Linked DNA regions of Callithrix jacchus. The protein of the gene in region 1 interacts with the protein of each later gene in a pairwise test. Links are inferred from orthologs where the notes say so. Each region holds a gene or a part of one and is shown on either strand. Other genes may lie near its edges.

The links.
Region 2: the proteins of NDEL1 (region 1) and PKP2 interact in binary tests that used the Homo sapiens proteins (3 or more experiments, as listed by UniProt). The link is inferred for Callithrix jacchus from reciprocal best matches to the Homo sapiens genes NDEL1 and PKP2.
Region 3: the proteins of NDEL1 (region 1) and CCSER1 interact in binary tests that used the Homo sapiens proteins (3 or more experiments, as listed by UniProt). The link is inferred for Callithrix jacchus from reciprocal best matches to the Homo sapiens genes NDEL1 and CCSER1.
Region 4: the proteins of NDEL1 (region 1) and MRC2 interact in a two-hybrid assay, tested with the Homo sapiens proteins (2 studies listed by BioGRID and IntAct). The link is inferred for Callithrix jacchus from reciprocal best matches to the Homo sapiens genes NDEL1 and MRC2.
Region 5: the proteins of NDEL1 (region 1) and DIXDC1 interact in binary tests that used the Homo sapiens proteins (3 or more experiments, as listed by UniProt). The link is inferred for Callithrix jacchus from reciprocal best matches to the Homo sapiens genes NDEL1 and DIXDC1.
Region 6: the proteins of NDEL1 (region 1) and CCDC88A interact in a two-hybrid assay, tested with the Homo sapiens proteins (2 studies listed by BioGRID and IntAct). The link is inferred for Callithrix jacchus from reciprocal best matches to the Homo sapiens genes NDEL1 and CCDC88A.
Region 7: the proteins of NDEL1 (region 1) and KALRN interact in a two-hybrid assay, tested with the Homo sapiens proteins (2 studies listed by BioGRID and IntAct). The link is inferred for Callithrix jacchus from reciprocal best matches to the Homo sapiens genes NDEL1 and KALRN.

What each region holds. Positions count from the first base shown.
Region 1 is NC_133506.1:74,969,451-74,972,950, reverse strand, and holds part of NDEL1 (nuclear distribution protein nudE-like 1), read right to left. Parts: intron 3,290-3,500; coding exon 3,141-3,289; intron 1-3,140. UniProt on the Homo sapiens protein: Required for organization of the cellular microtubule array and microtubule anchoring at the centrosome. May regulate microtubule organization at least in part by targeting the microtubule severing protein KATNA1 to the centrosome.
Region 2 is NC_133510.1:38,672,468-38,675,967, forward strand, and holds part of PKP2 (plakophilin-2), read left to right. Parts: intron 1-3,038; coding exon 3,039-3,228; intron 3,229-3,500. UniProt on the Homo sapiens protein: A component of desmosome cell-cell junctions which are required for positive regulation of cellular adhesion.
Region 3 is NC_133504.1:107,412,866-107,417,111, forward strand, and holds the start of CCSER1 (serine-rich coiled-coil domain-containing protein 1), read right to left. Parts: upstream 2,801-4,246; 5' UTR 2,509-2,800; intron 1-2,508.
Region 4 is NC_133506.1:87,931,341-87,934,382, reverse strand, and holds the end of MRC2 (C-type mannose receptor 2), read right to left. Parts: intron 2,930-3,042; coding exon 2,750-2,929; intron 1,971-2,749; coding exon 1,944-1,970; intron 1,853-1,943; coding exon 1,632-1,852; 3' UTR 501-1,631; downstream 1-500. UniProt on the Homo sapiens protein: May play a role as endocytotic lectin receptor displaying calcium-dependent lectin activity. Internalizes glycosylated ligands from the extracellular space for release in an endosomal compartment via clathrin-mediated endocytosis.
Region 5 is NC_133511.1:11,701,484-11,704,983, reverse strand, and holds part of DIXDC1 (dixin), read right to left. Parts: intron 3,165-3,500; coding exon 3,114-3,164; intron 1,075-3,113; coding exon 970-1,074; intron 535-969; coding exon 481-534; intron 1-480. UniProt on the Homo sapiens protein: Positive effector of the Wnt signaling pathway; activates WNT3A signaling via DVL2. Regulates JNK activation by AXIN1 and DVL2.
Region 6 is NC_133515.1:58,860,151-58,863,650, reverse strand, and holds part of CCDC88A (girdin), read right to left. Parts: intron 1,772-3,500; coding exon 1,607-1,771; intron 1-1,606. UniProt on the Homo sapiens protein: Bifunctional modulator of guanine nucleotide-binding proteins (G proteins). Acts as a non-receptor guanine nucleotide exchange factor which binds to and activates guanine nucleotide-binding protein G(i) alpha subunits.
Region 7 is NC_133516.1:78,975,298-78,979,459, forward strand, and holds the start of KALRN (kalirin), read right to left. Parts: upstream 2,801-4,162; 5' UTR 2,670-2,800; coding exon of another isoform or gene 2,603-2,669; intron 1-2,602. UniProt on the Homo sapiens protein: Promotes the exchange of GDP by GTP. Activates specific Rho GTPase family members, thereby inducing various signaling mechanisms that regulate neuronal shape, growth, and plasticity, through their effects on the actin cytoskeleton.

The DNA.
Region 1 (3,500 bases):
TCATTTATCTCGTGACATTTCCTGACCTAGCCAGGCTGGCCCCATCCAAAGAAAACGTTCTTGTCCCTTCCTGACCACTGATGGCACGTAGTGTCTCTATCATTTGGGCAATATATTCAATATATTCCCTTAAATTCCCATCTATTCCATAATGTTCCCTACAGATAGGCTAGTTGTTACGCTATTTATATCTAACACTGTATTTTGAACACAATACAAAATCAAGTTCACACATTTTCAGAAAGAAAACTTTTCAACACTTGTCATGTATATATATATATATATATGAGAGTTTAAAACATTAAGTGCCAAGTCAGGAAACTTAAGGCCAACTCACACTGACTTCGTAGAACTAAATCAAAAGGAAAATCCGAACTTTCCAAACACAATTAAGGAAAGCACCAGAGGCTACTCGTTGTTTTCTGCAACCAATCAGACATTTGCATAGGGTGTTACTTTATAACTTCACTTCAGCCTCTGATTGGTTGCCCTCTGCAACCAATTAACCAATTAATTAGACTGATCACGGGCCACTACTTCATTTGCATGGGGTATACACCAAGTGGCCAATGGAAAACCTCTAGAGAGTATCTGGACACCAAAAGATCCCATAACCAGTGCCCCTGAGCTGCTGCTTGGGCCCGCTCCCACCCTGGGGAGTGTATTTCCATTTTCAATAAACCTCTGCTTTTGTTGCTTCATTCCTTCCTTGCTTTGCTGTGTGTTTTGTACAAATCTTTGTTCAAAATGTCAAGAACCTGAATGACTTGCAGTCAAGACCCTCCACCAGTAACTGTCCCACTCCATTTACCTCCCACCAACCCTTTTCTTCCTGGACTTCTCAGACACTCATTCAACATTAACATGCACCTATTCTATGTCTCACACTATGTGCAATCTGCTATAGAAATAAAATTCCTTCACCTCAAGTTGGAATTTAAAGCCACATCTAATTTTATCAATTCCTACCAATTGCCAAAATGTCTCTCATATCCATTTCTTCTTCAACCTTCTGTCCCAACCTCCTCCAATCTTCTGCCTGAATGCTTCATTCACCACCTGGATACTCCTAAATGGTCTTCACATCTCCTGTCTACTTCCAATTCCTCATTACTATCTTCTCCAATCAAAATCTGATATTACTCCTTTGTTTAAAAAACAAAATTAATGAGTTCTCCATTGCCTAGACAGTGACTTTCAAACATAGCCTACTAGGTTGTTCACAGTCTGGCCCCAACCACCTTCCAGGCTCATCTCCTTCAGCCACGCTATCACTATACACATCAATCAATGTGAAATATGGGCGAGGGGCAGTGGCTCACACCTGTAATCCCAGCACTTTGAGGCCGAGGTGGGCAAATCACTTGAGGTCTGGAGTTCGAGACCAGCTTGACCAACATGGCAAAACCCCATCTCTACCAAAAATACAAAAATTAGCCAGGCAGAGTGGCACACACCTGTAAACCCAGCTACTAGGGAGGCTGAGGCATGAGAATCGCTTGAACCCAGTGGGCAGAGGTTGCAGTGAGTGCAAGCGGAGCCACTACACTCCATCCTGGGCAACAGAGCACAACTCCCATCTCAGGAAAAAAAAAAAAAAAAAAAAGGTCAAATATGAATACCTCAAGCACTTTCCTGCCTTTCTGCCTTTGCACCCAGTTAACGTATACTCTTCCTTGCAGACTCAGCAATGGCTTCTCAAATTCCCCCAGGTGCTCTGGCTGTTGCCTCCTCTATGCCCTTGAGCAGTTTGCCCACTTCTTTTTACTAGGCTATTAACACAGTGAATGTACCTATGTGTCACCCCCAAGGTTAGTGACCTGACTAGCTCTGCATCTGTACATTTAACATCACATCAGTAACTTAAGACTCACTGCATAAATAGGAAGAAAATACCAGGAAACAACTATAAAGTAATAGGAACTAAGTTTGGAATGATTAAGAAAAGTGGCCGGGCACGGTGGCTCACGCCTATAATCCCAGCACTTTGGGAGGCCAAGGCGGGTGGATCATGAGGTCAAGAGATCGAGACCATCCTGGTCAACAATGTGAAACCCCGTCTCTACTAAAAATACAAAAATTAGCTGGGCATGGTGGTGCGCGCCTGTAGTCCCAGCTACTCGGGAGGCTGAGGCAGGAGAATTGCTTGAACCCACAAGGCGGAGGTTGCAGTGAGCCGAGATCGTGCCATTGCACTCCAGTTTGGGTAACAACAGCGAAACTCCGTCTCAAAAAAAAAAAAAAAGAAACAAATAATAACAGATGCATGAAAGTCTGGCAAGAGTAATAGCAAGCCACTGTAGGCTGCTCAGAAAATTTGAACTGAATCAACATTTTAAGAAAATTCATCAGTCAGTATTAAAACATGAGAAGAAAAAGAATAGAAATATAAGATAGATCAGCTAGAAGATAACTACAGAAAGCAGGTATAAGATGTGAGGACCTACAGGAAGTACGGAAGTGTTAAGAACACCGACAGAAGATGGAGGAAGGCATGAGACAGTTTAGAAAAAAACAACCCAGGCCAGGTGCAGTGGCTCACGCCTGTAATCCCAACACTTGGAGAGGCCGAGGCAGGCAGATCACTTGATGCCGGAATTCAAGACCACCCTGGCCAACATAGCAAAACCCCGTCTCTACTGAAAATACAAAAATTAGCCAGGTGTGGTGGTGCACACCTATAATCATAGCTACTTAAAAGGCTGAGGCACAAGAATTGCTTGAACCTGGGAGGCAGAGGTGTCAGTGAGTCGAGATCATGCCACTTTTTAGGGCAACTATTATTGCCCTAAAAAGAAAAATTAGAGTACATGAATTAAATAAATAACACACTCTATACATGCACTCCAGCCTGGGTGACAGAGTAAGACCCTATCTCAAAAAAAAAAAACAAAAACAAAACCAGTAAGATCAACAATGGCATATGAAGGAAAAAAGAAAAATTGAAAGAGAAAAGCTGTGAAGGGCATTATCTGGGAGATGAGAATTTGGGGTTCTTTTCCGTATGATGAGTTACAGGTGACATGAAAAACCAAAAGGGAATGTTCTGGGACTAAGATCTAGGGGAAAAGCCCAATAAAGATTTTAATCACTAATTATCAACTTCATTTTTTTCTAACAAAATGCAGTCATTCGTTTACCTTTTGGCTCGCTCCAGGTCGTCATTGGCCTGCTCCAGCTCTCTCACATACTTATGCAATTGCTCCTTAATGGCTCGAGTCTGACTTAAATCGTCTTCTAACACTGAGACCTGCTTGTAGCTCTGTGCATACTGATGCTCTAGCTTCTCCTAAAGGCATCAGTATAGGAAAGTACATGTCATTAATATACACTCCTCTTTAATAAAGATGTAACTCAAGTTAAAAGAGTGGGGGTAGAACCCAAGGAATTTACCCACACTCTTGTAACAATTATTTTAAAAACAACTAAATCACACATTCATTCTAAGTGCCTAAACTCATGTTAAATTTTGTCAACCATTCTCCTCTCAGAAAGAAACC
Region 2 (3,500 bases), on another chromosome or scaffold:
AGTAAGATAATTGGCTTCAAGGAACCCACAGCCTCATTTGAAGTTGAAACAGTCACACAATTCATTACAATCCTGTATCATAGGGAGAGAAATGTGTTTAAAGATGCCACATGAATGCAGATGAAGGCACACAATAAAATCAGTCAGTTTTTGTTTATCCCTGATAAACACAACATGTATTCGGGAGCTGTGGGGATCAGCAAAAGCAAAAGATGCATGCTCTCTGTCTTTTAAGAAGACTCTAAAGTGGTTAGAGAAATAAGAGGAAAACATACATGAAATAACTATTACAAAATTTAAGTACAAGTTCACATTGACATGTATCATAGGACAAGTTCTAGTGGACTTTTCAAATATTAATACCTTTTTAAATTTTTCAATAGTTTTTTGGGTACAGGTGGTGCTCATTACATGGATAAATTATTTAGTGATGTTTTCTGAGATTTTGGTGCACCTGTCACCTGAGCAGTATACACTGTACCCAATGTGTAGTCTTTTATCCCCCACCCCCTTTCTACCCTTTCTCCCAAGGCCCCAAATCCATTATATCACTCTTATCCGCTGCCACTTATAAGTGAGAACATACAATATTTTCTTTTCCATTCCTGAGTTATTTCACTTAGAATAGCAGTCTCTAGTTCCATCCAATTTGCTGCACAAGCCATTATTGCTTGCTTTTTAATGGCTGAGTAGTATTCCATGGTGTATATATACCACATTTTCTTGACCCATTTGTTGGTTGATGGGCATTTACGTTGATTCCATATTTTGCAGTTGTGAATTGTGCTGCTATAGACATGCATGTGCAAGTGTCTTTTTCATGCAATGACATCTTTTCCTTTGGGCAGATACCCAGTAGGGGGACTGCTGGATCAAATGGTAGTTCTACTTTTAGTTCTTTAAGGAATTTCCATACTGTTTTCCATAGTGGTTGTACTAGTTTTCATTCCCACCAGCAGTGTAGAAGAGTTCCCTTTTCATTACATCCATGCTAACATCTGTTGTGTTTTGATTTTTAAATTATGGTCATTCTTGCAGGAGTAAGGTGGTATCTCATTGTGCTTTTAATTTGCATTTCCATGATAATTAGTAATGATGAGCATTTTTTTCATTTGTTTGAAGCATATCAAAAAATTTTCATATGCCATTTCTATATCTTCTATTGAGAATTGTCTCTTCATGTCCTTAGGCCACTTTTTTGATGGAATTATTTTTTTTCTTGCTGATTTGTTTGAGTTCTTTGTAGATTCCGGATATTAGTCCTTTGTCGAAAGCAGTTTGCAAATATCTTCTCCCATCTGTCTGTTAACTCCGTTGATTATTTATTTTGCTGTGCAGGAGCTTTTTAATTTAATTAGGTCCCATTTACTTATTTTTGGTTTTGTTGCATTTGCTTTTATGTTCTTGGTCATGAACTCTTTGCCTAAGCCAACGTCTACAAGAGATTTTCCAGTGTTACCTTCTAGCATTTTTATGGTTTCAGGACTCAGATTTAAGTCTTTAATCCATCTTGAATAGATTTTTGTATAAAGTGAGAGATGAGGATCCAGCTTCATTCTTTTACATGTGGCTTGCCAGTTATTCCAGCACCATTTGTTGAATGTCCTTTCCACACTTTATGTTTCTGTTTGCTTTGTCAAAGATCAGTTGGCTCTAAGTATTTGGCTTTATTTCTGGCTTCTCTATTCTGTTCCATTGGTCTATGTGTCTTTTTCATTTTCTATAGCCTAATTATGGAAGTGATGTATCTACTTTTTTAATACTTGTTAGTACAAAAAAAAAAGCCAAACTCAAACTTATAACCTAGAAGTTATATACATAGTAGAAATGTACATTTAAAATAATTTATTTCTCTTTTTAAAATAGTAGTATTATTTATGTATTGAAAAAAACTTGGAAAGCACAGTTTGTTTATTTATTTATGTTTTTTAAATAGAGAAAGGGTCTCATTATATTTTCCAGACTGGTCTCAAATTCGTGGGCTTAAGTGCTCCTCCTGGCTCGGCCGTCCAAAGTGCTGGGATTACAGACATGAGCTACTGTGCCTGGCCCTAGTTCACTATTAATACTGTTATAGAAAAATAGCTCCTATTAACGTTTTTCCTCAGGTTTCTTATGTAGTGTTTCTTTTTTCTTTTCTTTTCTTTTCTTTCTTTTTTTTTTTTTTTTTTTTTTTTGGTGATATTATAGTTTTTGGTTGGTTGCTTGGTTTTTGGAGACAGGGTCTCTCTGTTACACAGGCTGGAGTATAGTGGTATGATCTCTGCCCACTGCAGCCTCTGCCTCCCAGTTCAAGTGATTCTTGTGCATCAGCCTCCTGAGTAGCTGGGACTACAGGCACAGGCATACGCCACTACACCTGGCTAATTTTTGTATTTTTAGTAGAGACGAGGTTTCACCATGTTGGCCAGGCTGGTCTTGAACTCCTGACCTTAAGTGATCCATCTGCGTTGGCCTCCCAAAGTGCTTGGATTACAGGTGTGCGCCACCACGCCTGACCAATAATATTATGTATTCTTTATATAAATAAGTATACTGATTTTTCACATATGCTATTAATGTAATTATTTTCTTGTTATTATACATGCTTCATAGATATGTGTTGTAATGAATAATAGTCTTTGCAGGTGTGTTTTAGTTAATCATATTCCTATTCTTAGGATATTGAGGCTTTTTAGTTTTTCATTTACATGTAGTACTGTCATAACGCTCTCTGTAGAAAGTGTTTTTCATTTTCAAAGTAATATCTTTTAAGATGTATTCCTACACATGGAATTACTGAATTGAGGAAGGTGAAATGTTTTTAAGTTCCTGACCTTTCTGCCAAATTACATTCTGAAAAGATTTTCCAGGTGCTGAGCACAGAATATCCTCTTCTCAAACAGTTTTAAAAATTTGTTATTAGGGAAGTTAATCTTTCCATGTGTTGTTAACCAGCTGTGTTTCTTTTTAAGAATGTTCTTTACCAAAAACATATTGGGATCTTGGGATTAAGAAACAACCTTTTTAATCAAGCGTTCTTTTTTTTCATTTTGTAGCCAAAGAAACTCTCCCCGATTTGGTTTCCATCATTCCTGACACAGTCCCGAGTACTGACCTTCTCATTGAAACTACAGCCTCTGCCTGTTACACATTGAACAACATAATCCAAAACAGTTACCAGAATGCACGGGACCTTCTAAACACTGGGGGCATCCAGAAAATTATGACCATCAGTGCAGGCGATGCGTAAGTCTGTCAGCTGCCTCCCTGTTCCCTCACCACCCTGAATGTAAATAACCCAGTTGTGAAGGTGCAGTCATCAGCATCATGTGCAACATGGCAGCAAACAGGATGTAAAGCCAGATAATCTGGTCAGCCCTCAGTGATCAGCCAAAAGAAGAACCGAATCCATCACGCCACATGCTTGTCCCTTTTCTTCTCAAGTATCACGAGAGGGTCAAACTCCAGAGCCTCTCTTGGTAGTGTATTGTATTGGCCTAATGAATAAGTTTCCCAGA
Region 3 (4,246 bases), on another chromosome or scaffold:
ATTGTTATGGGTTGTTAACTCTATGTTCAAGCATGAACATCATATTCCTCCCACATGGCAAGTAAGTTCCGAAGGACAGGGAACAAGGAATCTCCTGTTCCTTTCCAATGCCTAGACAGTAGTACCTTGCACACAGTAGGCACTTTATTATGAGCATTATGATGAGTAGTAAAATGCAATAAAGGGTTGAATAACTATTATGGTAAAAATGTAATAAATTTTTCATTTTCTACTTTTAGTTTTATCTAATTTAACATTTGATGGTATAAATAATGTATCGTTAAAATAATAAACAGCTGCTGATTCTCTTGACTGTCAAAAAACGAAATACTCATAAATCGGACTTTTAATGATTGCAGTAATACAGTTCATCAATTACATTTTTAAGTTCCCTATTATATTTATGTTCCCATAGTTTGGGATAGTTGAGGTAATAACCCTCAGAGTGTGGTTCCCCATCTGAGTTCTAACCTAATATTTAAAGCTGCGCACATGCTTCTGTGTTTAAAGTGTATTTCAAATCAATATAAATGTAACAAAATATAAATATCAAATCCTTAACTCTGCTTTGTTTTTCAAATGAACCAGTTCTTAAGGAAAGCTATGTTCACGCTGAAAAAACAATACAAACAACAGTTGGTTTGTTTGATCAAAATGATTGATTAAATGAAGACAAGTCACTCTAACAATAGGTTGACCAATTTACTTCTTTCTTCAGTGAAACTATTGAACGTGTGGTTACAACATGGAATTTCAATGTTTGAAAACGTTGTGCTAGCACGCTCTTAGTTATCTCAGTTTGAAATATTAAGGACACTGTCCTATCAAACCCAGTCACGGTCCTCTAAAAGTACAGGTTGCTACTTTTAAGAGAAAACATTCATTTTATAAGCACCGTGACAGGCACTGCCCCAAGTCATCTCTAAGTTTCAAGTTACATATCTGGAACATGTACCTGTTACAAAGCAAACAGAGAAACCAAAACAAATTATGTTATAGACTAGACTCAAAGTATTTTAGGTCTTCCCTTAACAACCGGTTTTGAAGGAACCAGTGATAACTGACCCCCACGAAGGTGTCCATGCCTCTGTTCTCCCTGAGGCTTTTAATAAAAACACCTTTACGTTAAACGTGTACACATTATTTTTAATAGCCTTTGGGGGGCAGAGAATGGAGGATATGTGTTACATTTCAATAGGAAGGTATTCGACTGTAAAGATTTCAGAAATGAAAACTGTTGAAACCAAGTAGGTATTTTCTGACTTGTAAGTCCTACTGACTGCCTCAAAAGGTAAGAGGAGTGGAGTAGAGGACATAAAAACATAAAAGAGCAAAGAATATGTAACTTCTAAGAAGTATTTTTCTTCTACCTGTAAAAATATAAGTGGTTTTTTTTTTTTTTTTTTTTTTTTTTACTTCATTTCATATTCCAGGTCCCACAAGAGGAGGGGGAAGCATAATTGCTTCTAATTCTGAGACAGACAGAGGAGAGAGAGAGAAAGAGAGCAGCTGGGGATACACTAAAGGAAACCCCAAGAAATTTCACAACTCTTTGCCATAAATAGCCTTTCTTCTCACTCTGGATACCTCCTCCTCTACATCAGGAAGGCTCAAACTCCACGGGTGGAGAAGCACCATTCACAAAACCCTCCGTCACCCTTACCCCTTGCTGGCACCGTGTGTAGGAGTCCCTGGGACACAAGCCAAAAGTCGAAGGGGCCAGCCAGAGGGCCACATGCGGTTTCAGCTCAGGGTTGACTTTCTACTCAGGTGAACCAACCTACTGGTTAGTCCGGACCGTGCGCGCGCGCGCGCGCGCGAACACACACACACACACACACACACACACACGCCACCACAAAGCAATTGGTTCACTCTAAGTCGCTGCTGTTACTGTTGCCTCTGGGCAGGGTCTTGCTTCCAATCCAAGAAACCAGCGCCAGAGGACTAGCAGGCGGAGGCAAGAGGCGGACCCGGCCGGGCACTGCGGTTCCTACAGGAGACCCGGGCTCCCCGCCCCCTCCTTCCCTTCCCCCTCTTCGCCGCCGTCCCCGCCTCAGCACCCGCAGCCCGGGCGTCAGCAGTGGCCGGCCGCCCCTACCTGCGGGACGTGAGTGGCGAGGGAGAGGAGCGACCAGAAGCCTGCGCCAACTGTCGCCTCGTTGGCCACCGCTCCGCATCGCCCTGGAGCGGCCGCCACCGTCGCAGGAAGCAAACCACGCAGAAGCGCGGAGGAAATGGCCACGCAGCGCACCGGGGGTCGCGGGCCGGTAGCGAGTGAACCCGCCCGCCTCCTTCCCACCCCGCCCGCAAGGCCAGGTCTCTGCGCCGAGCACGCCGGGCCCGCAGCCGGCGCTCCGGGCCTGGGCGCGCGCTGCTCCCGGGCGGCCCCGGCACGGCGCAGTCACCTGCCAGGCGGTCGTCCTCACGTCCGCCTGCGGCCAGCCCCGCACAGCGGCGACGCGACGCGCGACCCGCTGGGCGCTGAGGCACCACGGGCGTTACTACCTTGAGGGCTCCGTGCCGCTTGTTAAGGCTCCTCCCGGGCACTCAGGGATTTATGTCTTCGGGGCACCGGGGTGTCCTTCCTGGTCCCCCTCCTCTGCCCTCCCTCCCTTTCTCGGCCGTAGGGCTCCTTCTCTCCACTCTCAGTGGCACAGAGTCGAGCTGCGTTATTTAATAATCCTCCTGCTCCTCCTGCCTGCGCCAACGGAGCTGCTCTGCCCGAGCCAGCGCTTCCCAGTCAGTCATGTTGAGAGAGAGAGAGAGGCAGATTGGCAGTAGGTCGGCGACTATTTGTGGTGAGGGAGAAGAGAGCAGAGCAAGAGGAGGGCAGGGGAGGGACGTGGGGAGGCGCTTCCAAGTGTGTGAGTGCGCGGAGTGTGACTGTGTGGGGAGCACTGGAACCACCTCCCCGGCAGGCCGCGCTCCCGGGCTGTGAGGAGGGCGGGCCCCAGCGCGGCCTTTATAGAACGCGGAGTGGGGTGGGCTGGGAGGGCGGCGCCCGGCCCACTGCGTCCGCCGGCTTTCACGCACGCATCCTCTTGCATCGACGCGCGTACACCTACTGCTCGCCCGCTGCTGAGTTTTCATTTTAGGGAACGTAGTATCCCACCGCGCTGACCTGGCCTTTTACCCCCAGTCTATCCCGGTGCTTACCTGGAGTCCAAGTGCATTGGCAGGTCAAGACTAAAGAATAGGGGGGAGTCTAAAGAGAAGCGAAGTGACTGCGGGGATGCTGGAAATAAATGCACTGTATTTCTCCTGTCCAAGGTTCCAATGCTACCTTCTTTCTTTTCCTCCTCTAAGAGAAGGAATTACCAGATTTTTTCTCCGCTTCTCCTTCTCACCCATCCAATTCACATGTTGACAAGTGTCTTCCTTCCTCAGTAAGAAGAAAAGAAACCTGGTTCTTTCCTTTAAGCAGGTCACACCTCCCAGGAACCATTTGCAGCAATCAATTCTGTAAGATAATGGAAGCACTGCGACTGTGTCTGAGAGTGGAACTTGTCTTCCTACACAGAAGGTCCTATACAATACAGGCATTACAAGCAGAACCAGCTACCAATTTGACATCATTTGACTGATGGTCCCCTGGAGAAAATTTGCCAGTTTAGGGATCGAAAAGACTTCTGATGCATGCTTCTGTTGCCTACATAATTTATTTTCCCTTGATCCTCTCTCCCCTTGCACTGCCTCATTTCCTTTCAGGTTAACACTGAGTTCTGAACTCTTTCCCATTCATCCCCTTCTTTATCCCCACTCCTGTATATTTATGCCTATAGAAGGCAATACAGCAAATGTAGTGTATTTAATTCCGTGTGTGTGTGCGTATCTTTTTTTAACCCATTCTGATAGAATGTAGGACCATTTCTATGTAGAAAATAGATCCAATATTAAATTTGTACCTGACATCGCCTCCCTTACCTTCTGCCCAGATTACAAGGTGTGATCAGGTGCATGAGGTATTGAGAAACAACTTAAGGAAATAAGTAATCTACACATTTGTGTGTGTGTGTGTGTGTGTGTGTGTGCTCTATATAATCTAGCTGGCTATAATCTAACTTCTGAAATGTGGTTATATTGGGGATAAAAGCAAGATGTACTTTTTAAATGAATCTGAGTGGTCAATGTATATTATAGCATGGGGACAACTCTGCTTTTGGGAGACAACTGTAGGAAACTATTTTTATAAATGTGAAAAAGGAAGGTAAGATTTAGGATGCTATGGAGGAGGCAACAAGAT
Region 4 (3,042 bases), about 13 Mb from region 1:
TTGGAAGGATGGTGATGTGGAGCCCCCACCCAGTGCCGGCCCAGACACATCAAGCACTCCCCTGGAGCGGCAGCCCAGAAACAGCAGTCATGCCAGCACGAAGGATCCCAGAGGCACTGTTCTGAGTGCTCTGCACAGATGATCTCCTTGATCCTCAGATACCCTAGGAGGTGGGTCTGGTTCTCCCCACTGTACATGGCTTGAAGGGTGAGCTAAGTTGCTCAAGTTTGCCCAGCTGCTCAGCAGCAGATGGCCTGGCTCCTGAGTTCTCATCCACATTCAAGCCCCCAGGAAGGGACGAGAATAGAGAAAGGGAAGCGCAGGCCCAGAGGGGTGAGCTCCTGAAGAAGATCCAGGGTGAGAGTGCCCCCTAGAGGCCCAGAGACAGAAGCAAAATGGCCGGGTGCAGAAAACACCTGTGGTGCCAGCTCCAAAGGACAGTTACTGCTGAAGGGACGGGTGTTAAGAACCAGGCTCACAACAGGACAAGGCAGAACCTCTTTCAAGCCTCTTAAAGGTGTTTTATTTGTTTGCTTTCTTTTTTCCTTTAAAAAAAAAACCAATAATGGCACATTGAAAAAATCAACTACAGAGAAAGGGCCATTGTCTTCGAGTCTGTTCACACTGTCCCACGCTGCTGCACCAGGAGAGGCCGCATGCTTCGTCCTGGCTGGGACTGCGCCTCTTGGCAGGGCACTGGGGCGCTCCAGGGCTCGGGTGCTGCTCCTCCTGGCTCCACTAGAAGGTGGGAACTCGGGGTCATCCAGTGCTCCCGCTCCTCTGGGGGCCCCAGGACTCTGGCAACCCCTCTCTTGCTCCAAACCAGAGCCAGGAGCTGGAAACATTAGGGAACTTATTCTGGTCCCCACGGGGGACTCTCAGGGGCAGAGCCCTCCCCCACTCGTCAGGAAATGACACCCCAGCCCAGCCCAGCTGCCACCTGGGAGGTTGGGGTATCTCCCCAGTCTTGTCTCCAGCCCAGCAGATAGCACACCTGTGCCCTGATTCTCAGGTCTGACCCACCTACCAGGCCCCACTCTCCTGCCAGTCCTCATGGCCACCTCAGCAGTCACAAGAGTGATGGATGCTCAGCCCCCTCAACTGACCCTCACCAGGAACAAGAGGGCTCCCCAACCCCCAGGGCCCAGCTCAGAAGGAAGGGGTGGGGAGAAGGGGTGAGAGGGAGCAGGGTGAGGGACGCAGAGCTGCTGAGGCTGCCAGGTGGGAAGAGAGAGGCGACAGAGCTGCCCGAGGGGACAGGGGAGGCTCCTCAGGCTCTGCAAAGAAGGGGTCCTGGGGCACGGTCAACAGGCCTGGGCCAGGGGTATGGGGACAAAGAGGCTCTCATTCCCCCTCCCATCCTACCTCTGGTTACTGTGGGGCTCAGGCCCAGGTGACAAGATCTCAGGCCCCCAAGAAAGGAAACGCCACGCTGCACTCAGCTGAGTTTCAGCTGAGCCGTTGTGGGAGGGTGGCACCCCACCAGCCCAGGCCCTGCCCAGCTCCCAACAGGGACTACTAAGGGCACCCTTTCATAGGCCAACTGGACGGGTAGCTGGTGGGGGGCCCGGCCGACTGAGGGTCCCAGCTCCCCAGCTCCTCCCACCCTGGCCCTGCCCACGCCCCTGGCTCTATTCTTGCTGCTCATTCATTTCCATGTCGGACACCAGGATATTCTTCTCAGTGGCCTCGGCCGGGCTGGAGCTGCTGCGGCTGTAGCGGGCCCCCTCAAAGGACCCACGCTCGCTGCTCTGGCGCCGCCGGTAGAGGATGAGAGCTGCGGTCACCAAGGCCAGGAGCAGCAGCACCGCCATCAACACTACCACCAGGGCCGCCGGGTTCTCTGGAAGCGCTGCCAAGGTGAGTGGCATTAAGGTCCAGGCCGGCGTTAGGCCCAGCAGTGCTTCCAGCCTGCCCACCTGGGAGCATTGCCTTTGACTCACCTGACGGGGAGAAGCTGTTTTGCTGAGCTGTGGGCAAGAGGAGGGGCCAGTTAATAACAGCAGTGCACCGTAATAATCACTTCAGCAAACATACAAAGCACTGCCTGGGTCTCAGCCCCTAACTTACCTCATTTTCACTAGCACGCTAGGAGGTCGGGACTTTTTTGAGACAGGGTCTCGCTCTGTTGCCCAGGCTGGAGTACAGTGGTGCGATCTCGGCTCATCACAGCCTCTGCCTCCAGGTTTCAAGTGATTCTCATGCCTCAGCCTCTCAAGTAGCTGGGACTACAGGCATTTGCTACCACGCCCAACTAATTTTTGTACTTTTTGGTGGAGACGGGGTTTCATCATGTTGGCCAGGCTGGTCTTGAACTCCTGACCTCAAGTGATCCACCTACCTCAGCCTCCCAAAGTGCTGGAATTACAGGTGTGAGCCACCACGCCTGGCCCAGGACTATTATTCCCATTTTACATATGAGGAAACTAAGGCCACAGAATCTGCCCAAAGTCACACCGTTGATAAGTGGTGTGGCCAGGACTTGAACTCCATCCATGACATTGACCACTACAAAGTGACAGGGGGTTGCTGACCCCTGGGCTCTGTGGTCTAGTTTGGATGGTAAGTTTCAGGGCCAGTCTGTCCCACAGACTAATTTATCCCACAGGTCCCAGCTGCCCCCGGTCCGGTCTGTTCAGGCCTTCCCACTGTCTATGTCCCCTGCAGATTGTGAAGCAGCCCCCAGCCCCAGCCCAGGACCAGCTGCACGGGGTGGAAGGAGATTAAGTGTGGGCTGCCTGGCGCTCACCTCGAGGGAGTTTGCAGATGACACCCATGGTGATGTTGGTGCAAGCGCCAGGGCGCCACAGCCCACTGTTGCTCTGGATCCAGTAGCAGCTGTTGTGGCTCAGCATGCTGGGGCCCAGGCCAGGGGGGCCCCAGTTGGAGTAGTTCACAGCTGTGTTGTCCTGCCAGACCAGGGTGCCTCCTGCGGGAAAGGAGGTGCTGAGGGAGCAGGGACAAGGTGTGGCAGGAATGGGTGGTGGAGAGCAGGTGTGCTCTAGAACTGACTCCCTCTTCCCTCCGCAAGCCCCAGGGCAA
Region 5 (3,500 bases), on another chromosome or scaffold:
GAGCTTTCAGATGAATGGCAAAACCAGGAACACTGAAAAGTTCACCCTCTGCAAAATAATTTCCACTCAAGTAAAGTAGAGTCTTAGGGAAAAAAAGTCCTTTCCTTAAAATGTACCAGGAAGACTTTACACACCATAATAGTCTTACACAGTGCAAAGGATTCCTCAATAGAAATGAGGAAGGGAACTACCATTTGTAGGAGGACCGCTCTGAGCCATTCATACTAGTCAGAGATAAAGGTAAGACTAGAACTGAAGTTTCCAGACCCCTGATTCTGTGCTCCCTTTCCTAGCTGTGCCATTTATTCTTTAGGGCTATCAGGAGACACAAAAAAATACTTCCTTCTAAAAAGCAAGGATGAAAAAAATAATTAAAAGGCAAGGATGAGACTAGAATACTTAAGTGCTTTTTGAGCAACAATAACGGGCTGTTCATGAAAGGTCAGTGGAAGTCATTTCCAACCTGAAATTCATTCTTACTTTATATTCTCCCAACAGCCGGTTCCTCTCATCTAGCTTCCTCTGCAGATCCACCTGCAAGGATAGGAAAGAATTCACGGCACGGAGGTATTGTCTGCTAACCCTCAAGGAAACCAGCTACTTAGTTTAACCACAGTTAATGTGGGCAGTTACAGTACGTAGCACAGACAGGGCATGGTGGTAAAAATACACAGCTGCTCTCCACATTTGTAGTGAAATAATTGGACTGCAAAACCACAATTTTGCCTCTGTATCTCAGTGTCCTCAAAGTTGAAGAGGATATCAAGGATCTTCCTGCCCAGTATGATGTGTGCTTTCACCTAGGAACAGAGATGAGTCTAGCAGGGAATAAAAATAACTGTAGACATTTAGGGTAGACATCCCAGGAGCAAGAAAAGAGATTAGGATGGCCGATCTAATAGCACTTGAAGCAGCGACCTGTTCTGCTAATGGGGCTCACTGAGGCCAACGCTCATTCATTTAACTCACGTTCTGGTTGTGCAGCTCATCTTTGTCCATATTTGCCCTCAGTAGTTCCTGTTTGAGCTGAAGAACAGATGTGTCCTGCTGAGTCAATCTCTGCTGCAAGGCATCCTATGGGAAAAAGCATATTAATTGTTGTTGTCTCAATTCATCAATCAGCCAGTTACTGCTAAAAATTACTAAACACTGTAATGTGTTTCCAGCATTCATGACGGCAGACTGGAAGACAAATGGAGTAAAAGGGTCTTGCCACAAGTTGCTGAGCAGGGTTTTTTCTGTCCCCCTCTAGGAAACTAGCATCCAGAGCAAAATCCTAACCACCATTCTATGAAACTTACTGAAACCTGATTTTTTCTCTTCTTAATAGCATTAGGCCTTCTTTCCCTCAGCTTGAACTCTCTTGGTTCCTATCACGCCTAACAAAAGATGAGCTGGATATGCTTACTTATAAGGACAGTTATGACAAATTCCATCGACCATGGTGGCTTCAAGTGGAACTAATGGACTAGGACTGCATTCTAATAACACTTGTCCTGACTTTTCTCTCTTTACAGATTGCGAAGAAATGGTACAGACTCTGAAGAATGTGGGAGCCCGTTCTTAATTATGCTCTCTCCCAGGACAGTACACGGTAAAGGTACTAAGATACCCGTAGCATCAGTAGTTTAAAGGAATATTTCCCAAAGTGTGCTCCGTGGGACATTATTGTGCCCCATGGCATTACATGGAAGAAAAGATACTTCTGTGGTTAGTAATTCTAAGTCATTTTTAGGCCAATCTCGTTTTGACAGACCTTTTCAGATCCTTTAATATGTTATTATTCAGTCTTCAAGATTGCAGAGCATGTCTCAAACTTAATCTGACCATGGAACACATTTGTTTTTAGAAGTGTTTCCAAAGTATGAAGCCTACAGAATATACTTTGGAAAATGTTGCTGAGTGATAACTCTAGTCTAGCCCATGAATGGATACATAAGGAAGAGGGGAAAAGCAGCAGCTTAAAAACATCCTCTTCTACTTCCAGGTATTATTCCACAGATATACTCTCGTTTGGGTGAAATAACATAGAGTCAAGGCTGTTAGATCATTGTTTATATTAGCAAAAGATTGGAAATTATCGTATATAATAAATCATTCAACATTATGTACGTATACAGTGAAATACTATGCAGCCATAAAAAAGACCTAGGAAAGTCTTTATGTATTACTGACATAGAATGAGCTCAAAGATACACTACTAAGTGAAAAAAAGCAAGGTATCAAGTTATATTTATAGTATACAACCATTAGAGTAAAACCATGGGGGAAAATGATATACACACCGATGTGCTCATAACTGTTAAGATGCCTCTAGGAGGCTGGGTGTGGCGGCTCACATCTGTAATCCCAGCACTTTGGGAGGCTAAGGTGGGTGGATCGCCTGAAGTCAGGAGTTCAAGACCAGCCTGGCTAACATGGTGAAACCCCATCTCTACTCAAAATACAAAAATTAGCCAGGTATAATGGTGAACACCTATAATCCCAGCTACTGGGGAGGCTGAGGCAGGAGAATTGCTTGAACCTGGGAGGTGGAGGTTGCAGTAAGCCAAGATCACGCCACTGCACTCCAGCCTGGGAGACAGAGTGAGACTCTGTCTCTAAAAAAAAAAAAAAAAAAGATGCCTTTAGGAAAGAGAACTAGGTAACCGAGGGGACAGGGCTGGCAGGCAAACTTCATGCATGGTTTATTTTTTTATACCTTTAAATGACTCAAATGTTAGTTAACTACTCAAAAACAAAGTAAATTATAATTTTTTTATTTATTTTATTTTTTTAACTGATCATGTCAAGGGAAATTTCAGTGTTAAGTAAATTATAATTTTTTAAAAGACGTTCTTTCACATTGAAGAGGATTCCTTTACATGTAGAGACAATCAAGGTGGCACACATGGAAATGGCAGCACCATGAGTCATAACTACTAGAAATAAGCCACAGCAAAACAAAGGTATATTCCTCGATATGTCTCACTTCCCTCCCACAAAGCCCTTTCTTTACCAATAGCACAGAGCTATTAAAGGTCCACAGAAAATTCCAACTCTCACCACTCACCAATAGACTACTTTATGTTGCAGAGACTTTATTTAAAGAATTAAACGCCTTCCTTTTTTACCTTTATCCCTTGTAAGTTTCTGGCTTCTTGTTTACATTTCAGCAGCTCCTTCTGCAAACCAAATATAGTTAGATCAGATGGTGACATCTGGGTTGCTTCAGAACGCGTTACCTCATACTGTCGGCAAGAGGACAGAACTCAGTTGATCATTCCATGAAAAATTAACCCTCTACTAAGGCAGAACAGTTCTGGTCCAGTGAGCAGTACAACGGCTGATCCACAGAAACAAGAAGAGAACCATTCCGTTCTTCTCTGTTGGCACCCAGGCTTAACTGCTCAGGTAGAGAAGAGTTGCCAAGAAAGATGATGCCCCATAATTCCCATAGGCTCTCATTTGTATATTTAGCAATCTTCACCAACAGGAAAACCTAATTATAATAATCTAAA
Region 6 (3,500 bases), on another chromosome or scaffold:
AATAGGCATTTATAAATGGCCAATAAATATGTGAAAGATATGTAATGCCTAACACACAATTTTAAATGTACAAATTATTTTCTCCTATTGCTTTAACAAAAATTAAACACTAGGTAATATCCAGTGTTCATCTGGAAAGACAGGTATACTCTATTAGTGAGACTGAAAATTGACATGATTTTTAGGCTGGGTGTGGTGACTCACACCTGTAATCCCAGTACTTTGGGAGGCTAAGGAGAGCAGATCACTTGAGGCCAGGAGTTGGAGACCAGTCTGGGCAACACAGTGAGACTCCCATCTCTACAAAACATTCAAAAGTCTCCTGGGTGTGGTGGTGTGCACCTGTGCTTCCAGGTACTTGGAAGGCTGAGGTGAGAGGATCACTTGAGCCTAGAACGATGAGGCTCCTGTGAGCTATGATCTCACCACTGCATTCCAGCCTGGGAGACAAGTGAGACCCTGTCTCAGAAAAGGGGAAAAAAAAAAAGAAAAGAAAATTGATGGGATTTTTAAATACTAATAGAAAAATCAATTAAAATTACACACACACACACACACACACACACACGTATATATATCCTTTGGCCTTGCAATTTCACTGTCAGAAATTTAGCATTCTATGAACAAGTTTCAAAATAACCTAAACGTCCAGAAATGTGGGATTTATTTAAGTAAATTATGGTAACATACTACAGAATAATAGGTAGTCATTACACAAAATGAAATATACATACATCTGCTAAAATAGAGAGATCTCCAAGATAACATTAACTGAAAATACAAACAGGAATTTTGTATAGCATGATCCCACAGGTATAAATTTGTCGAAGAAATATACTTTTACATACAGAGAAATGACAAAAACATTTTCTAGGAAGATAAACTGTTTATAGTGATTCTTTTTGAATAAGAAAGTAGTAATCAATGGGTGTGGGGATTAATTTTTGGTTTTAGCTTAGTTTTTTTTAAAAGGTACTATTCTTGTGTTAAATTAAAAAATAGTAACTACCACCACAAATATTTTACTTGTTATTGTGTAAGTTCCTTAAGTTTACTCAACTTATGAAGGGTAAATACTTGTTGTTCAGTTTGTTTGCTTGTTGTTTACTATCAAGTATATATTGAACTAACTTAGCAAATATTTGTTAAGTGTCTAATACCTACCAGGCACTAATCTAGATAGTAAAGATGGTGAAAAAGAAAGACAAATTACCTACTTTCTTAAATGAATACAAAATATAATTTAACTGTGAAAACTGCTATTAAAAAAAACTAAGAAATGGAACAATAGTGAACAGTTTAAGTTGAGGATAACAACTTTACTGGGGGAAGAAGTCAGGGAAGACCTTCTGCAGGGCATATGATATGCTACCCAAATGCTAAGGGAAGCCAGTCATGTGTTTCAGGCAGAAGAAGCAAAAACAAAGTCCCCTGAGGTAGGAATAAATAGAAAAAGGCCTATGTGACTAGAATTTTCTTATTAAGTGTGATGAATTGTTTAAATATTAGAAAATGTATCTAAGATAAATATATCCAAATATATCCAGTTATCCTCTATTTCTAAAAAAAAAAAAAAAGATTCCTACTAAAATTAAAAAATACTTACATTTCTTTCTACTTCAATTAATCTGTCTTTAACTTTCAGAAGTTCTCTAGTCGTTTCTTGACTTTCTCGTTCCCATCTGTTGTCTTCACCAGATGTTGGAGGAGAGCTCTGTACCATCCTTTCCTCATCCTGTCTCTGTTTGAGAGCTTCATAATTTTTTTTCACCTAAAGTTTTATTTAAAATATTTTGATGAGGAGAAAAAAAATCACCACTGTTATATTTCTCACAATTTGACTCTGGGCTGGTCTGATGAATATGAGAGGCAATTTATTTTTAAATGTGATGAATAATATGTATAATTTGTGCTTTTTAAAATGCAAATCTTTCCTCCTAGAAATATAAAGCATACTCTGCTTATGTGGCATGCTCCTACAATGTATTCTGTAATGTCAAATCCTATCGTTTGTAGTGAAAATGCCCCCAGGTAAGTGGATTTAGGTATGTTTCTAATTACTAACAATTCTTTTTACAGCTATCTATAACCAATTTAGAAATTTCACAGAGCTGTCTATGTAAAGCACAAAGATTTGACATATTATTAATTTAATGGATATATCTTATTCGGGATTTTTTAGTTCTCAGTTGGCTCTCTTAAAGTAGATTACCATCACACTAGAAAATCCTGGATAAGCTATATCCTTGGATTGCTATTAACAACTTACTCATCATCCATGACCACATTTGCCAGATTTAACTTAATAACTCTTTCTCTTCGGCTTAAATTTACTGTTGTACTTATATTGAATTATTAAACTATTTTGAGTCACTAGTTTATCCTAGGAGATCCCTAAAATAAATTTCTAATTAACCCTACCTTTGTATTCAGGGAAGAGTAGAAATGTTTTATAATTCAACATCTGATGCACAACTTAAGAAATCCTATGACTCAACAATTAATACTGCCACCACTGAGTTAGAAAACAGTGAAGTGAGACTAAAAAGATGCCAAGACAGAATGTGACATCAAGTTTCGCAAGCAATCTAATGGGTACCCTATGATCCTAGTTTTCTGGGTTTTGTTTTGTTTTTACTTTTAACACCATAACAATAGATGAGTGACACCATTTCTACTCTCTATTTTACATTAATTTCCCACAAGGTCTTTATTCTAGGTTTAGAAAGGCTATAAAAATATGCAGTTATTAAGAAGGGGAGCTGAGAATAAAACTCAAGTCCCTTTCATTTTATTTTTATTTTTTTGAGATGTAGTCTCACTCTGTCACCCAGGCTGGAGTACACTGGTGCAATCCTGGCACTATGCAACCTCTGCCACCCAGATTCAAATCATTCTCCTGCCTCAGTCTCCTGAATAGCTGGGATTACAAGCACCTGCCACCACGCCTGGCTAATTTTCGTACTTTTAGTAGAGATGCGGTTTCACCCTGTTGGCCATGTGGTCTCAAACTCCCGACCTCAAGTGATCTATCCACCTTGGCCTCCCAAAGTGCTGGGATTACAGGCGTCAGCCACTGTGCCCAGCCAAAGGCTTCTCATTTAAAACTCATTGTTCTTTCAATTTTATGTATCATTACTCAAAATCTTAATATTCAGAGAGGAAATGAATATAGAGACTAGATAAAAAATAAGTCATTGTAACAAAGTAATTTAGAGCTAATTTAAAAACTGTCCATTAAAATTTAATTAAAATTTAAAATGTTGTGAATTAGGTTATGAATTCAAATTTTCAACAGTTCCCAAAGATAATGTAATCTTTAAAAATAGAGGTATAATTTTCATCAAGTTGCTAATGTACAGATTTTAAGTGAAATTCAGTAATTTTGAGAACAGCACACACCTATATAACCCATATATCAATATGACAGAACCCTTCCATCACTCTAGCAAGATCACTGTACCAGGCAACTATTGTTTTTCTTTCACAAAAATTCTTCT
Region 7 (4,162 bases), on another chromosome or scaffold:
TCATTCCTTCAACAAATATTTATTGAGCATCTTTCATGAGCTAGCTCAGCCTAACACCCCACTGTAAAGCATGCCATTTTCTATTCAATGTTAGGTAACATTCGTTATGAGAAGACAGTTGCTATATCTGAAAATTCTTTTTGAATATGGATGTGGGTATGCACACATGTTTAATACTTTAATACCAATTAACCAGAACTGGGCAACATAATCAACACCCAACCTCCAAACACCTGGAAATCAGACACCCTACTTAATCAAGAGCTACTAATCTAAAACTTCACATTAAGGAAAACACTATAGATTGAAAGACACATAAACTTTCAAATTACAGCCATATGTGGTAATCAAACATGCATGGAAGACCATATAATTCTTGCAACCAGTTTTGCTATCCAAGGGGACAGGTTAATCTATCAGCCCATAAATTCATCAACCTGGCATTTCCAAAATGACTAATGCTATATATACACTAACACCATAAATTTCCCCCAAATTCTATGACATGGGTATTATTATTAATATTCCAATTTTTAAAATTTACAAACTGAGGGTTGGTTAAGTATAGCCCTAGAAAACAATACCCTTTATTTTTTAAGTCCTTACCATTAGCCATTTATTCAAGGGCACTTAGAAGGCAATGGAGCTAAAACTTGAGCCTAAGTTTGATTCATGAATTCAAGCATTTCTAAAAGATAAAAATAAATTTGTAGTATTATAGCTTATACATTAACATCTAGTTTCTTCTTATAATTAGCATCATATGGTCGTGTGAATCTTGTTTTAATTCATGTAAGTATAAATTGTCTCTAAGCCCCTAACCATTCTTAATTGCACTTTTCTTAGTTCCTGGTTATTACATACCACCTGTTCCTGTCTTTCCCGGGATGTTTGTTGGAGAGTGAAAATTAACTGTCTTGGTAATGAAATCTACCATTTAAAGAGTACTTTGTTTGTGCCATACACTGGGATAAGTATTTCACTTATATTTTCTCACTGAGCCCTTACAGCAACCCTCTGAATTGGTACTACTATTATCCTCATCACCTCCTTTTTTCTTATTATACTTTAATTTCTGGGGTAAATGTGCAGATCACACAGGATTGTTACATAGGTATACACATGCCATGGTGGTTTGCTGCATCCATCTCCCATCATCTACATTAGGTATTTGTCCTAATATTATCCCTCCCCAATCCCCCCACCCCCTGCTATCCCTCCCCTAGCTCTCCCACCCCCCACAACAGGCCCCAGTGATCATCACCGCCCCCCCTTTTTTTTTTAAACAAAGGAAGGAAAGCAGGTACAGAGAGGTAAAGCAATTTGCCTGAGGTCACACAGATAAGGAGGATTTACACCTGGTGGTCTCTTCTCCCTTCTCCCAGTCCGTGATCGTCAACAGTATGAAGTTCTGGTTCCCTTCTTAACACCCTCATCTCAAGTCTGGGCTCCCACTGGCCTGTTTCTCCGTGCTAGTGAGAAACTGCTTTTAGTGTGTGCTGGTTTGGTTTCCTCCATCTTTGATTTCTCCCCTGATAAGGGCCGTGGTTCACCTGCTCTTTGCAGCACTCTGCTTTCACCTGGTATTGATCTCCCAGCACACTAAGACTATTCCTGATAGAGATGAATTCACCTTGGTCTGTGTAGCAAGGCTTCCCCAGGGCCATCTTTCCCATCAGGAGTTTGATCTCATTCTTGCCAAAACCTCTTAAAGAAGCCAAAGCTTTTTAAAATAACATTCAACATTTTAAAAAATCAATTACCAAAACAGTTCACAGAACATCTGGATTTGTGTCACATTATCAGGAGACTTTAATTGCATTAATACCTGATGGTAAAATGTATTAAGGTCAGATTAACCTGAGGGATAAAACTGATTTTCTCTTTTCTTTCCACTAACTGCAAATTCTATACCAGCTCTTTCTACAGATAATCAACAAAGGAAGTAACCTTAGGATAGGTGGGTGTTAATAGTTCCATGATGCTAAGAGGTGCGCAGGGAGGAACTCAGCATTTACTAAGCACCTATTGTGTGCACCAGACATGATGCTATATATTTTACATGTATGAATTAAACAATAGCTCCAGAGCAACCCTAGCACATAGGTTTTACCATGCCCATTTTACAGATGGGTAAACAAGCTCAGAAAAATCACGTAAATCAGACTAAAGTCAGTGGCAGAGCTGAGACTTGAGCCTGAGTCTGTTTGCCCCCAGCTTCTGGCTGCAGGAACCATTTCTCCGTCTGCATTGCTTCTTAGAGAGTTCTATCAAAAGCCCTGCAAGAATGGGCTTAACTTGTACTTGACTACAGTACTGAGCTTGATGAGAAACCCATCAAGAAATGAGATCCTCTTATACAGATGCTGCCCCAAATGAACCCTGTGCTCCCAATTCCCAGCTGGGTCATACATGTCCCCAGAAAAATAGTCTTTCTTTACTTTCCATGGGTTTGCTACTTGCCTCTGTTTCATTCCTTCTCTCTCTTCTTGGCTCTCCCCTCCCCTCTCTGTTGTGTCTTTCTGCATGTCTCTTTACGTCTCTGTGTGTATCCATCTCTCTCAGTCTCTCTTTCACACAAGCATACACACACTCAGGATACCTCGATCCAGCAGCCGGAGCAAGCGGAGATACCAGAGATACCACTGGTCCCAGAAGCGGTCCGTCATCCCACCCTGAACTCATCCTTCACAGCCAGTCCCCTCGGCAGAGCCTCATCCCACCACCGCGGACTCGTGGAGGCCGGAATCACTTGACGCTGGGCTAGCACACAGCCTGCTCTAAGCAAATGCCTGCCTGCAAAGACAGCTACAAGTCCTCCCACACAGAGGCTGACTGTGCCGGGAGCCGGTTTCACAGCAACAAAGGAACAAGTGCAGAACAACGCCGTGTGCAGACCGAGCCTGCCTGGACTCAAGGGGAGGTCGGAGATGCGTGGGAGGGAGTCAGGAAGGGCTTTCGCAAAGACGCTAGGTTTGCAGTGGTCTTAAGAATGAAAATCCACAATCAAGTCCATCTCTTAAATTTTATTCCAGTATCTCCTGCCATTCTGGCTTCCATGATTCCCACACCAGAGGCCAGTGGCTCCTCCAATAGAATGTGGGATGGGAAGCCAAAAGCTCAGCCATTTTGGACTTTGAGGCCAGTCCCGAAGCCTGGGAGCCTTACTGCCTCACTGTCGGTCCAAGGGCTCTCTCCTTGCCCGAGACTGTAGGGCCCACATGACCAGAAAAATGCCACAGATCCTTTTTTCCTATGTTCCTTCATGGAACCTCTGTTACAGTAGAGACAGCATGGGCTCTAAAGTCACACAGTCACAGGAGCAAATCCTGGTTGCCACTTAATACTTGCCTGGCCTGAATCAAGTTATTCAGTTCCCTGTGCCTCAGCTTTCTCCTCAGTAAACCAGAGAGAACAGTATTTGTAAGCCTCAAAGCAAAATAAGAATATAATGTTTCTGGTGTTGCACCTGGTAGATAGTGGCAGATAGAAGGTTCTCCCTTACCTCTCAACCCCTCTCCCTCTTGCCAGACTCTCAGTTCCCCATATGTTCATACATCCCATGATTTTCTATTGCCAGGCCTTTGCTCCTGCCCTTCCTGCCAGTAGTATGCTCTCCCCACTCTCTCACCTCATCATGGCCAAATCCTCCTGATTTTTCCAACAAATAACTCAAAATGCCACAGAATCGAGGCAGACTTCCTGATCTTGCTTTATATTTTATTTTTTCATTCCACTTCTCATTTGTATATAACTCTTCTCCCTTACTTGCCCATAAACTCCATGAAGGTAGGATCTGCTTTTTAATCATCTTTGTGTCCCTCAAAGAACCCTGAACTTTGCAATTACTCAAGTGGTTACTAACTGGACAAATGAACATGCAAGGGAGTCTGAGTCTGTTGTTTTCAGGGAAAGGAGAAGAGTAAGCTGCAGAGACCTCAGCCTGGGGGCATTGTCTAAGGGGCTTTGGGGGATGACAGGGTGTCCAGTCCTTACCCTGCTCACAGCCCCTCTTACAGTGGGCCAGTCTGTGACCCATGTGACTGGAAGTGCTGTTCACAGAAATGAAACCTGAGGAGTCCCCAGGTCTAGGACGACCTTGTTCTCCAAGCCTAAAAACTACTCAACAGCCACCTGCACATTCATCACAGCTCTGTGCAGC